Linked DNA regions of Bombyx mori. The protein of the gene in region 1 interacts with the protein of each later gene in a pairwise test. Links are inferred from orthologs where the notes say so. Each region holds a gene or a part of one and is shown in the gene's direction. Other genes may lie near its edges.

Region 1 (6,544 bases):
TTGCTCAATGTTTTGGCGAAGATTTTGTTTGCTCGTCTAGTTGGATTCAACGTTTCCGGGCTCGGCACGGTATTGTCGGCGGGAAAATGAGTGGTGAAGCTGCTAGTGTTGATAAGGATACTGTAGAAGAATGGATGAAGCAAAAGTGGCCTACATTATTCGAAGGCTACGGACCAGATGAAATTTTTAACGCAGATGAAACTGGACTTTTTTACAATATGACACCAGACAAGACTTTAAAGTTCAAAGGAGAGAATTGTTTGGGAGGAAAAATGTCTAAAACGAGATTAACGATCATGGTTGCAGCAAATATGACAGGATCCTGTAAAAGAAAGCTTTTAGTTATTGGCAAATCTAAGAAACCAAGATGCTTTAACATACACTCACTGCCGGTAACGTATGAAAACAATGTGAAGTCATGGATGACATCGGACATTTTTGAGAGATGGTTAAGAAACTGGGACGCTGAATTGAAGGGAAACAAACAGAAAGTTCTACTTTTGGTTGATAACTGTCCTGCTCATTCAGCTGTTACTAATCTAAAATGCATTAAACTTGTGTTCTTACCACCAAATGTTACATCTGTATTGCAACAAGGTGTAATAAGGTGTTTAAAATCTCACTATAGAAGACTGCAAGTGTTAAAGTTATTACAAAACCTTGACAGTAGCGACCAAAAAAGCTTTACGGTTCTTGATGCCATCTTGATGATATCAGAAGCATGGGAAAACGTTTCACAAAACACTATAGCTAACTGCTTTAAGCATGCTGGTTTTAAAGACCTCTTAACAATAACCTCAGATGATGTGACTGATGATGATGGAGAGGACAATATTTCTGTTGCTCAATTAGCCCAAAATTTACGACCTGCTTTATCTATTACTGAAGCAGCAGAGTTCATTGATGTAGATAACTCTATTGCAATTTGCGCACGAGCTACAGAAGATGATATTATACGAAATGTTAAAGAAGAAGATGACGAACAGGAAGACTCTGAAGAACAATTTACTGTACCAACTTTGAATGATGGTATCAATGCTGTTAGTGTATTAAGAAAGATTGTTCTTTTTAATGAACACATCCACAGCAATTATGACGATACGTTAATTAAAATCCAACGTGAATTACAAAATATCTATGCACAGCAGAAGTGTTCCAAACAGACCAAAATTGCAGATTTTATGCTCACAGAAAAATAGCATTGTACTTATGTACATAGTTGAATAAATATATTTTTCCAATAATTCCCTATCAATTTGTTTGTACTTGCACGATACACATTAAACATCACCAGTTGTTATGACTATCGGTTTTTACGACTGAATATAAGCAGTCCCTTCGACGTCGTTATAACAAATTTTGACTGTAATTACTAGTTTTTTTTTTACATATTATATATTGGGTGTAAGAGCTCAGAGACCACTTGGAGGCATGAAGCCTTCATTAGAGTCTATTCAAAAATAAATATAAGGAAAAAGGCACTTAGAAATACCTGACTTTAAAGTTTTTAAGTCAGGTATTCTAAGTGCCTTTTCAGCCTTGCCTTAGAAATTATTTATTTGTTTTTATTTATTTCATTTCCATTCCATATGACTTTGACAAATTTAGTGCTTTCCTTAGGACACAAATTTCCAAGATATCACAGTAGTTATTGAATTTTTCAGTTGCTACTTATGTTATTTGGTTTTAATACACGACGTCCTCGGATGTAAATAGGAACTACAATTTGCATTTTAAGGATTTCAAGTTTGATTCTCTTGATAAGATCGTTCTTAGAGCAATATGCAAATGTTGGCGAATAATACATAAGCCGTTTGTGATCACTAAAAGTCGGAAATAATAAAATGAAAACTTTAAACGAGATTTAAAAAAAAAAATTTTAATTAAAGGCCTACGGCTCTCGGAATTGAAGAACATCCGTTGAGAAATCTTTGGAAATTCAAACCTCAAGCCTAAGGAAGAGATATTGAATAGATTCACCTCGAGAGTGTAAAAATGGAATCTTACATTTTAAAGGTATCTTGTCAGTCGCCTTTTTGATAGACGACATCGTTTTCTTAACAGACGCAGGCGAAGCGCGTCCTTTAGTCTGATTAGTCTTCCCTACAATTCGTTGCACTTTAGGCGTAGGTTTGGGGACATCTCGAGGAGCCATCCTTACGTTTTTTGCTCCCAAGTTTTCTATTGTATATGAGAAGTATTTTAGCAAAAAAATCACAAAACAATTCGCAACAGAAAGTTTTCAAATTTAAACACACAAACTTCAAAATATATTTTTTTGGTTGATTCGTTATTATAGGCAAAGATATATTTGACTATACAACCAAATATTTTGTTATGAAAGGCTGGCTGTTGTCAGAAAACTCAAAAGGAGCGATGGGATATATTAAAAGAATTAAAAGAGAATTAAAAGAAGTGAGATAAGGGCAATAACATGAGATAACGTAATAAGAAGAAGAGGAAGGCTGCGTGGATGTTCCACCATGGATCTTCTGAACTACCATAGGAAATAATACAGTACCCGTGGTTCTTTTCTATATTTAGTGCATTACCCGTGTATGCTCATAAGTAATATAATTAAAATGAATATAAGTACTTTTCCCTACCAATGCTGATAGCTTTGAGAGGCTATTTCAGCTTCGCCTTGACGTGGTGAGCTCACAGGGTTCAAACCGGTTCAAACTGTTGCTAACACTGGCCCTAGCAAGAGCAGTGCTTTGCAAAATCTACCACCAAATCAGAAACGCGACCCATTGAGAAGATCCGGCGAGAAACTCAGTGGACTAGTAAGTACTGAGTACTTCGCTTAAAGGTCTTGTTACCAGGCCAGTCATAAAATATTCAAAAAACGCAGTACATAGCAGTACGTATGATAAAGATTACCTTGCATAAATTTTAATAATAAAAGCTAATTTGGCTTAAAAGACTTTGTTTCCAAGCCAGAAAAAATTATTTAAAAAAATGGGGAAATATTATCAAACGTACATACCTATATGTATGTATAGTATACAATGTATACATATGTTCATTATTGTATATACAGAAATAAAATATATAAGCTTTAATGTTTATTCTAAAACTGCATTTATAAGACGGAGTATTAGTAAAGTAGGAAATAGTATAAATAAACATAATTGTTCTCATTCTCATAAGGTCTTATCGACGTCAGTCCTCGCAGCTGAAATGTTGTGTTTCTAAATAGTTATTCTCTTTGGTAAATTAGAATTGCAGACGAACCAATAAACCGCAAATATATTTTATTAAGGAGATTAGCTTTAAACGAATCACTTTTATACCTATTGAACAAAGTACATAATATGGAGGAAGCCAAAGCGGTTAAAGAAAATCCTCTGGACATCGACAGCAGTAGTTTCAGCCCAGACGTCTACTTAGATTGTCTTCTAAAATGCGCTACCCTAAAGCAAGTAATGGACAAAGAAGCGGAAATTGTAACTCAAAGTCAATTTCTACAATCAGAAATGCAGACATTGGTTTATGAAAATTATAATAAATTTATTTCGGCGACCGAAACTGTACGCAAAATGCGTTCCGATTTTAAAATAATGCAAGAAGAAATGAATAAACTTAGCGAGAATATCAATAAAATAACTACATTCAGCTCTCAAATATCTGAAAATCTCCAAGGCAGCGGTAATAATGTTCGACGTTTGTGTGGTACAAGACAGCTGTTAGATAAACTTCAGTTCCTTTTCCTTCTACCTTCTCAACTTAACAAAGCAATAGCAGAAGGCAGATACAGTGATGCTGTACAAGACTATTCACATGCTCAGCGAGTACTCCAAAAATATGGCAATCAGCCTTCATTCCAAAGCATACAGACTGAGTGTTCAGAAATTATATTTGAACTGAAGAAGACACTCCGTGAAAGACTTATCAGTCCTAATACATCTGCAACTGAACTTGCTGAAAGTGTAGCCCTTTTAAGGCAGCTCCAAGAAAGTGATTCATCCTTACAAGATATATTCCTTAGTTGTGCAGAGAGTCGTCTTGACAAACACTTGCAGATGCTCAGTTCTATAGCTGAACATACAGACATTTTGGACTGGGTAGAAAAATGCAATAATACATTGTTGGCTGATTTAGCTATTATAATATCATGTTACAATGAAATGTTCGAACAGGAAGCTATCATACCCGAATTTGCTGATAAAATAATGATTCAAATTTTTCATTTATTCGAAGAGGTCATTAAAAGACCTGAGAACAACGGAACTGAAATGTTAATAAGGGGCCTTGATAAATTCTTCAGAAAACTCCAGGCTATGACCGAAATATCATCAAGTGATATGATGTCCAGTAAAGGCACTGAGGTTGTCATTCAGTGTATAAATCACAAGGCTATGGTACAGTACCAGAGCATACAGACTCAATTTAAAGACAGTCTTATGAAAGTAAGGCAGTCTTTGGCCAGTAAAGGATCAGAAACAATTGACTTAAAAGATATACTGAACTCCCTTCAAGTATATCTGATGCAAAAAATCCAAGCCTCACTCTTAGATCTAATGGCATTCTTACAAAATAATTTATCATTTGGATTAAAACCTTGGTGTGCAAAAGCAGTAGCTGATGCTTGCTCAAAAGTCATAAATGAAACTATGGCTAATCTTTCTGATCTGGTAAAAAAGATGGCTTGCCTTCAGACTTCAAATAACAACATTCCTTTTGAATTGCTACTTATACTAGCTAAGCTATGTTTGGATATGCAAGAGACTGGTGTCTCGACATTACAGAACCATCTTCTCAAACTCTTAGAAGAGGCTGCTCCTGGCCTCACTGTGGATAACAAGGATACTAGTAGTGTCATGGTCCACTTATCTACTGCAGCGCAGACTGCACTAGATTCAGAAGTTGTATTTATTGGCCAGACTGCAGCCCAAATGTTGAGAGTATCTGTATTAGCTAGAGATTGGTTGCGAGCTCCAGAACCAAGGGGGCCAAGAGCAGTATGCAGAAGAGTAGTGGAGACCTTAGCTAGTGCTGATGGTGCTGCATCTCAACTGTTTCCAACTAGTATTAAACCTTCTAGTGACTCCAGTCGGCGTACTATTTGGTCACGTGCTCCTTCTTCTTTTTCACCTCTTAATAGGATATTCTCTGAAAGAATTGAAGTGTTTAGTCCTGCAGGGGCAGACAGAGCTGCACTATCAAATGGTGCCCTAAAAGTAGCTTTGAAAGCATTAGTTGAATGTGTGCGCCTACGCACATTTGGAAGGCATGGCCTACAGCAATTACAAGTTGATGTTCACTTTCTACAGCAAAGGCTTTCATGTATGGGCAATGATGAGAGGCTTCTAAATGCTTTGCTTGAAGATGCTTTAGCATCAGCACAGTTGAGATGCGTTGACCCACAACTAATGGAACCTAGTATTGTAGATATTATTTGTGAAAGAGGTTGAAGGAGAAGAACATGATGCTTGTATTGATAAAACTGGCTTAATTATCATATGATTCAAATTTAGATTAGTCTAGGGACTTAAATACCAATCTTAAATCTATACTATCTATACTAATATTATAAAGAGGAAAGATTTGTTTGTTTGTTTCTTTCGAATAGGCTCCGAAACTACTGGACCGATTTGAAAAATTCTTTTTCCATTAGAAGCCGACATTGTCCCTGATGAACATAGGCTACTTTTTTTTTTTTTTTTTGGTTTCATGTGTGTTTTAATGTTTCCGAAGCGAAGCGAGGGCGGGTCGCTAGTATTAAATAAACAAACAATTATTTATACTTTTAGTAGTTTTATTTATAACCCATTAATCAAAATTGCATCATATTAAAAATAATATCATCTACATTTATAAAATTTCATGTTAAATGCTTCTAAAACATAAATCTCACAAGACTGCTACTCTGTTTTTTGCATTTTTGTTAGTCACGTAGATAAACATCATTAAAATTAAAAACATTTTAATATACTATTCAAAACAGACATTATTTATATATTTTGGTCCTAGTTCACTAAAAAAATTATGATGATCATCGCATTTAGATTAGTTCATCGTAGTGGTAAATGATCAAGGTTGATGTATTAATTAAGAAAAAAAAAGATAAGTAGGTAATGATAGTTATTGGCAACAACAGATATTTCATCCTTAATCTTGAATCTATAAACAGGTGACGTATTGAAGATATAATGATTTGAAGTTAAAATCATGTTGATGTTAATTGATGGATACAACTAGACCGTGAAATTTACTATTGCAATAGATTCACTATTTCCTAATGAATTGGATCAGAAAGTCTCAGTGGATAGTAAATAATATTTAATCTGTTTACATATAGAGTGTAAGAATCCCGATTTAGAAAAGGAAACTTTAGCACACGAAAAATATGCATAATTTAAGGATATTAATTAGCGGGCACTGCCCCTGTACTTCATTATAATACGCTAGTGTAAAAATAATTATGGTACAATTTTGCTCAGCTATATGTAAATACTTGTAGTTTCTGTATGCGAATTCTAGTATGTTCCGTCTAGTATATTCTAGTAAATCCTGCATGTACTAGAACAAGTTCTGCACA
Region 2 (6,035 bases), on another chromosome or scaffold:
ACATCAGGTGGGCTGTGAGCTCGTCCATCCATCTAAGCAATAAAAAAAAAAAAAAAAAGCGCAACGTGTGAACGCGAGCTACATGGTAGGCGGAGTGGGGGGCGTTAGGTTTTATTTTCGTTACGGAATTTTTTGATTCGATCGCCGCGCTCAAAGCCCCCGATAAAAGCTATGCGATAGCTTAATAAAATGAATGTAAACCTTAAGGTGGCAATGAATATAGTCGAGAATTTCGATTGTCGAGTGCTGAAGCGGGTACGACTCCGTTCAATACGACATTATCAGTGACATCTTCAATATTGTTGGTACGGCGCGTTGGACAGTTTTTGGAGTTCAGATCTTTACCTTGTTCTTTGGTAATAAAACTAAGGGAAAAGAATATGCGTTTACCCGCAAAGCGAGTTATGGTGTTGTATTTCCATTGCGTATTTGTAAATTGACGTCATTGTTCAGTATACTTTTACTGGTGGTAAAACCTCTTGTGAGTCCGCACGGGTAGGTACCACCACCCTACCTATTTCTGCCGTAAAGCAGTAATACGGTTCGGTTTGAAGGTTGGGGCAGCCGTTGTAACTATACTGAGACCTTAGAACTCATATCTCATAGTGGGTGTCACATCTATGGGCTCCGATAACCGCTTAACACCAGGTCGGCCGTGAGCTCGTCCATTCACCTAAGCAATAAAAAATAGTACATCCCCTAAACAGGTTTTAGGTCTGTTTTCGTAAGTAGTACTACTTACTAGTACAATAGTGTTAATTGTGATAGAGTCTAACGACCAGTGTGCTGGAATGGGATCGTTTGCCTACGTTTGCCGCTAGGGGCGCTGTTCCAACTGCATACAAAATTGGGTTAACTTTTACGCTATCGAGAACGTTAAAAAACTTGCACTAAGCACACAGTTGTCCTCACAGGGCTTGCAGCGCACCGGGCTGCTGGAGATCCTGTGCCTGGCGGAGCCGGACTGCGAGGCCAACTACCGGGATATGCTGCAGGAGCACAAGAGCGCCTACCTGCAGAGGTACCCGCCGCGGCCCAGGGACACGATAACCTCACCCTAGCCAATCATTCCTAATATTCGTTATCGCGCTGTAAACGGCCCCGTTTGAGTCGCGAGCTTGTATGACCCCTCAGGTCGATACGTAGGATGGCTTCGTGGTAGACATGCCAAAGGATGGTGTCGATAAGTAGACGAAAATTGATATTAGAGAAATATGAGGTAGAGAAAGAGAGAGCTATACTTTCCGTCTTCACGGAAGTGGAATAAAAGAAAATGATATCTACAACAATCTTCGGTAAAAAGACGATAATTTAACCTAGTAAAAGCCGTGTATCGACAGCCCACTGACACTGTCAGCTTTCGTACGATCACAGTCTAGCGAACTAAGAGTACTATAGTTCTGTTTCTGTTGTAAGTCATACTAGAAACTTCGACCTCATGTCTCAAAGTACAATTACTTTGAGGTCATAGTCCCACTTGCCATTAAAAGTGCACGCTTCTTTGGCCCTAAGATCACTTGCTTATTGTCGGATGACCTGTCTGCTCGTGTAAATAGAATGAAGTAACGCCTTTATACATCATTGGAATTACCAGGCTGACATAAACGCAAGGAGCTTTCTTGCAATTAGTTCTTCCAGTCAACTATTTAACAAGTTAACTATTCTTTTTTTTATGGGATTTTATGACCTGGTAACTAAGACCTTTAAGTCATTTCTTATTTTCATTTACATTCTTATTTTTATGAAAAATGATAATATGAAGTGAAATGAAATGAAATGAAGATGATTAATTTGAGACATTAATCAAATGAGATTAAATTAAATGAAACGAGATGAAATACCATCTCAGTAAAATAGTGGTCATTTACTGAGATTTTTTCAGTGGACTTTTTGGAGGAACCCGAGAAGTTTCGTCCGGCGGCTTTGTTTCATTTTCCCACATTTGTGCACTTTCACAGATATTAAACAGTTAATAAACCACCGTTATTACACATTTATACCCGAAGAAACACTAAATAGACAAAATAAATCACACAACTTCACTCCTTGCGTTCCCGCCAAAAAGTCAGTTAACTATTCTAATATTAGGATAGAAAAGGATATACCTCCAGTAGACACTGTAGACGGGCCAAGGTCATGGTGGCCATAGACACAAGAAAGGGAATGTCACCCACTCGCCTATAGACATGATGCGGTTGTCCTATCACGCGTCCGTTGTTGAGCTATGAAGGAGTCGGAGGTGGTCTCCCGGTCATAGTTCTCGTCGAACCCGTCGCTTGCGACGAAGGGCTCGACGAGTAAATTAACCCACAGTCACAGCCCACTGAGTTTCTCGCAAGATCTTCTCAGAGGGTCGCGTTTCCGCGAACCGGTGGTAGGTTCTGTGGAGTACGGCTCTTGTTAAGGCTCGTGTTAGCAATGCCATCAGGTTTGAACTCCGTGAGCTCACCTACTAGTTAAGGCTACGCTGATATAGTCTCTCAAGGCTCTCAGCTCAGGTAGAAAAAAAAAGGCGGTCTCTCTCGAACAATGCGTGTTGGCCAGCAGCTGGAACAAGTTGCTGTCCTACGTGCAGCTGGACGAGCCCCTCCCCGCCAAACTCAGGGACAGGGACCGGCAAATGCTCAAAGACAAATTTTCGGTAAGTAGCTCTGAGGTTTTTTTTTGCTTAGATGGTGGACGAGCTCACAGCCCACCCGGTGTTAAATGGTTACTGGAGCTCATGGACATCTACAACATAAATGCGCCACCCACCTTGAGATATAAGTTCTAAGATCTCAGTATAGTTCCAAAGGCGGCCCCACCCTTCAAACCGAAACGCATTACTGCTTCACGACAGAAATAGGCAGGGTGGTGGTACCTACCCGTGCGGACTCACAAGAGATCCTACCATCAGTAATCGAAGCGAAGCTATCTAGTGGCCGACGCCCGTAAACATGTTTGTTGAGCGTTTGAATAGCTTATCTATATTGTCTACGAGCAGTGTTTCAACCGCGAGTGGGAGGAGTGCACGCGGCTGCAGCGCGGGTACAGCGTGCCCGACGCCGAGCTGCGGGAGGCCCTGAAGCGCGACAACAAGCAGGCGCTGCTGCCGCCCTACACGGCCTTCTACGACGCCGCCGCCGCGCTGCCCTTCTCCAAGAACCCCGACAAGTACGTCAAGTACACGCCGCTGCAGGTACGTCACCTCCTATTTTTTTTTTCGGGCCGGGGACTCAAATATTTACTGGTGGTAGGACCTATTGTGGGTCCGTGCGGGTAGGTAGCACCACCCGGCCTATTTCTGTAACATCTCGTCACCGCGATTCAGGAATTGTTGAATTTACGTGCAGCGACATCTGTTGATAACTTACTGTTGTATTCCAGATCGCCACCCAGCTGGACGGGTACTTCGATGAGGCTGCTTAGTGTTGTACATGTGTTCCATCATGTTATATCAATACTACTATTACACTACGTATTATTATTACCACGTATTACTGTTCATCACTTACTATACGTGTCGGCTGTAGATCCTCAGACGGGTATATTCGTATATTCGTTGAAAACTGTGTCTCCAATATTCCGACGGCCCACGCAATCATTAATTAAACGTGGTTTTGATTAAATTAATAAACTAATGTAATTTTAGGTACAATAAATTAATTAAATTTTAATTAAAAAATTAAGATTACAACACGATACAAATTTGAATTAACTTTTACGTGATCGAGAAGTTAAAAAACTCGCACTAAGCGTATTCTAACTGTATTCGGATCCGAAGGGAGCGACAGCCGTTACACACAAACAGTTGAGACTCAGACCTCACGCCTCAAGGGGGCGGCCGACGCCGATGAGCTTCGACAACCACCCGCTCGCGACCTGCATACATTCAACTAAGTCATTTACTTGATCGACTTAGTTTTTCCTCGTGGTTGCAGATAAATCATTACATTTTCAGCGGTAGGCAGCGGCTTGGCTCTGCCCCTGGCATTGCTGAAGTCCATGGGCGACGGAAACCACTCACCATCAGGTGGGCCGTGTGCTCGTCTGCCTACAAGGGCAATAAAAAAAATCATAATATTCACTGTATAAAAACTGAAATCAAAATTGTAAGAGAAAATAAATTTCATCAGTCCGAGGGAATCTAGAATTCTTAAGGAGCATACATGCAGACGGTTACGTTTCCTGTATCACCTGTTAATTTAATTTTGATAATTGAAAACCAAGCGGTGTATAAACAATCATTCGTTTATTCATTATAATACAACACTTCAACATGTCAATTTTATATAATTTTTTTTTTATTGAAATAAATAACTAATAATCAGTTTTTGGCGTTTTCTTTTTCCTTTGAGACCTATTCCTTTTTTTCTTCGGCCACTGTAACAAAGATCTTTAGTAAGTCTCACGAAATATATACATAAGAAACGTTAATAACTAAGTAATATTTGTCAATTTAAAAAAAATGTCCTTGGATTAGTTGACATATGACATCATAGGTCAGGTTAAGGCTGCCTAGTATATTCTTGTCTGGACGGTGCTACCATTATGCCGCATCAATCCATACTTGTAGTATGAACATCTAAATGAGACGGCGATAGTGAGGTCCTTGTGCACGGATTGTCTTCTTGTGAAGCTATTCGACTCATTCCATATATCTGTTCCGATGCGACACTAACTGTGACGTCATTGTCAATATAACATATAGAGGGATGAATTGCTATTGGGTTTAAGGGACATTTTTGCAACTTGACAGGAGCGCCATTTTATGTTTAAATTTAGGAAATTAACAATGTTACGTCGGTAAGAGTAACGCTATCTATCGCCGAATAGCAGAAAGGATTACCATAGGAACTAGTAACACCGAGAACGCTCGAGAAGTACAACGCCATCTATTGTTAGATAGCGGAAACACACATTAAAGCTACTCGACTTCCCCAGAATATTCTCGATAAATCTAGGGATGTCGTATCGACTATGAAAGCGTTGCAGAGATGACACGAAGGCAGTTAGTAATCTTAACTACTCGAAGCGAAACAGCGAACGGATCACCTGAAGCGAAGCGGAAGAAGTGAACTACGACTTGTAAAGTGTTCTGTGAGTGATCTAAGTGTTAAATAGATTTTTAATTTGTACGTCGGTAGAGTTTTTATTTATCTCGAACCCCAACGCGTAAGAATCAAAAATACTTCTTCAGCTATTTGATTGGAGTTAGCTTAGTTGAGTTTCAATTAATAACATCGAACTGTTAATGCTAATAATACCGAATAAAACGCACCTTTCATTACAGAGATAAATGTCGCGTATTAAGTAAAATGTCGCTTAACCAATTAGCCTTTCACCCCTCGATATGCATTTACATAACACGGCCGTCTTATTACAGAGGGTACTTAGTCGTGATTCACTTGAAGATGTTAGTATGGATAACGAAAGTTAGTAGAAGCAATGAAAGTCAAGCAAACTATTGAAATTACTTGTCCATTAGGAATTTTAATAATGTTTACTGTATGCATTATATTGCTATGTTACATATTAATATTACATATGCTACATATATATTTTAATGTCTACTTTTTTGAACTACCTTAACTGACTAAACCCATTTGCACGGCCGCGAAGAATGCATTAAAATACCGGTCTTCATTAGACTTCAGAATTTCAAGTGAAAGTTCAGGTACGTAGGACTTCAACGATGCAAAATGAACATATAATTGGTTTTAATATAATTACGAACTAGTTAAGCTCGTCCTCGCTTAGGTACAGTTTTGTCTGAATATAGACAATTTACAATTTGATTACAATTTGACAATTTGTTCTTTTACGCGGTACCCTCCTTTTTTTTTTAAATAACAGCCTAAGTTACTTCTTATAATATCAGTTATCTGCCAGTTACACTCTTCAAAATCGGACTAACGATAGCGGAGATTAACCGAAACAAACAGACATTTATTACTACCTTTTTTACTTTCCTATAAAAATGTATTTAGTAAAAAGTTGGTAGGTAGTTCGATTTTATAAAACACGATTCAGTTTTATTTATTTGTATTTGCCTG

What was found.
Region 2: the proteins of vacuolar protein sorting-associated protein 51 homolog (region 1) and exocyst complex component 7 interact in a two-hybrid assay, tested with the Drosophila melanogaster proteins (2 studies listed by BioGRID). The link is inferred for Bombyx mori from reciprocal best matches to the Drosophila melanogaster genes Vps51 and Exo70.

What each region holds. Positions count from the first base shown.
Region 1 is NC_085115.1:1,407,761-1,414,304, reverse strand, and holds vacuolar protein sorting-associated protein 51 homolog, read left to right. Parts: upstream 1-2,947; 5' UTR 2,948-3,317; coding exon 3,318-5,417; 3' UTR 5,418-5,749; downstream 5,750-6,544. Other genes in the region: uncharacterized protein LOC101737848, read right to left, coding at 1,981-2,155. UniProt on the Drosophila melanogaster protein: May act as a component of the GARP complex that is involved in retrograde transport from early and late endosomes to the trans-Golgi network (TGN).
Region 2 is NC_085119.1:1,167,602-1,173,636, forward strand, and holds the end of exocyst complex component 7, read left to right. Parts: intron 1-914; coding exon 915-1,021; intron 1,022-2,544; coding exon 2,545-2,641; intron 2,642-2,983; coding exon 2,984-3,178; intron 3,179-3,366; coding exon 3,367-3,408; 3' UTR 3,409-4,299; downstream 4,300-6,035. Other genes in the region: uncharacterized protein LOC101741349, read right to left, coding at 4,300-4,362. UniProt on the Drosophila melanogaster protein: Required for exocytosis. Thought to function in intracellular vesicle targeting and docking before SNARE complex formation.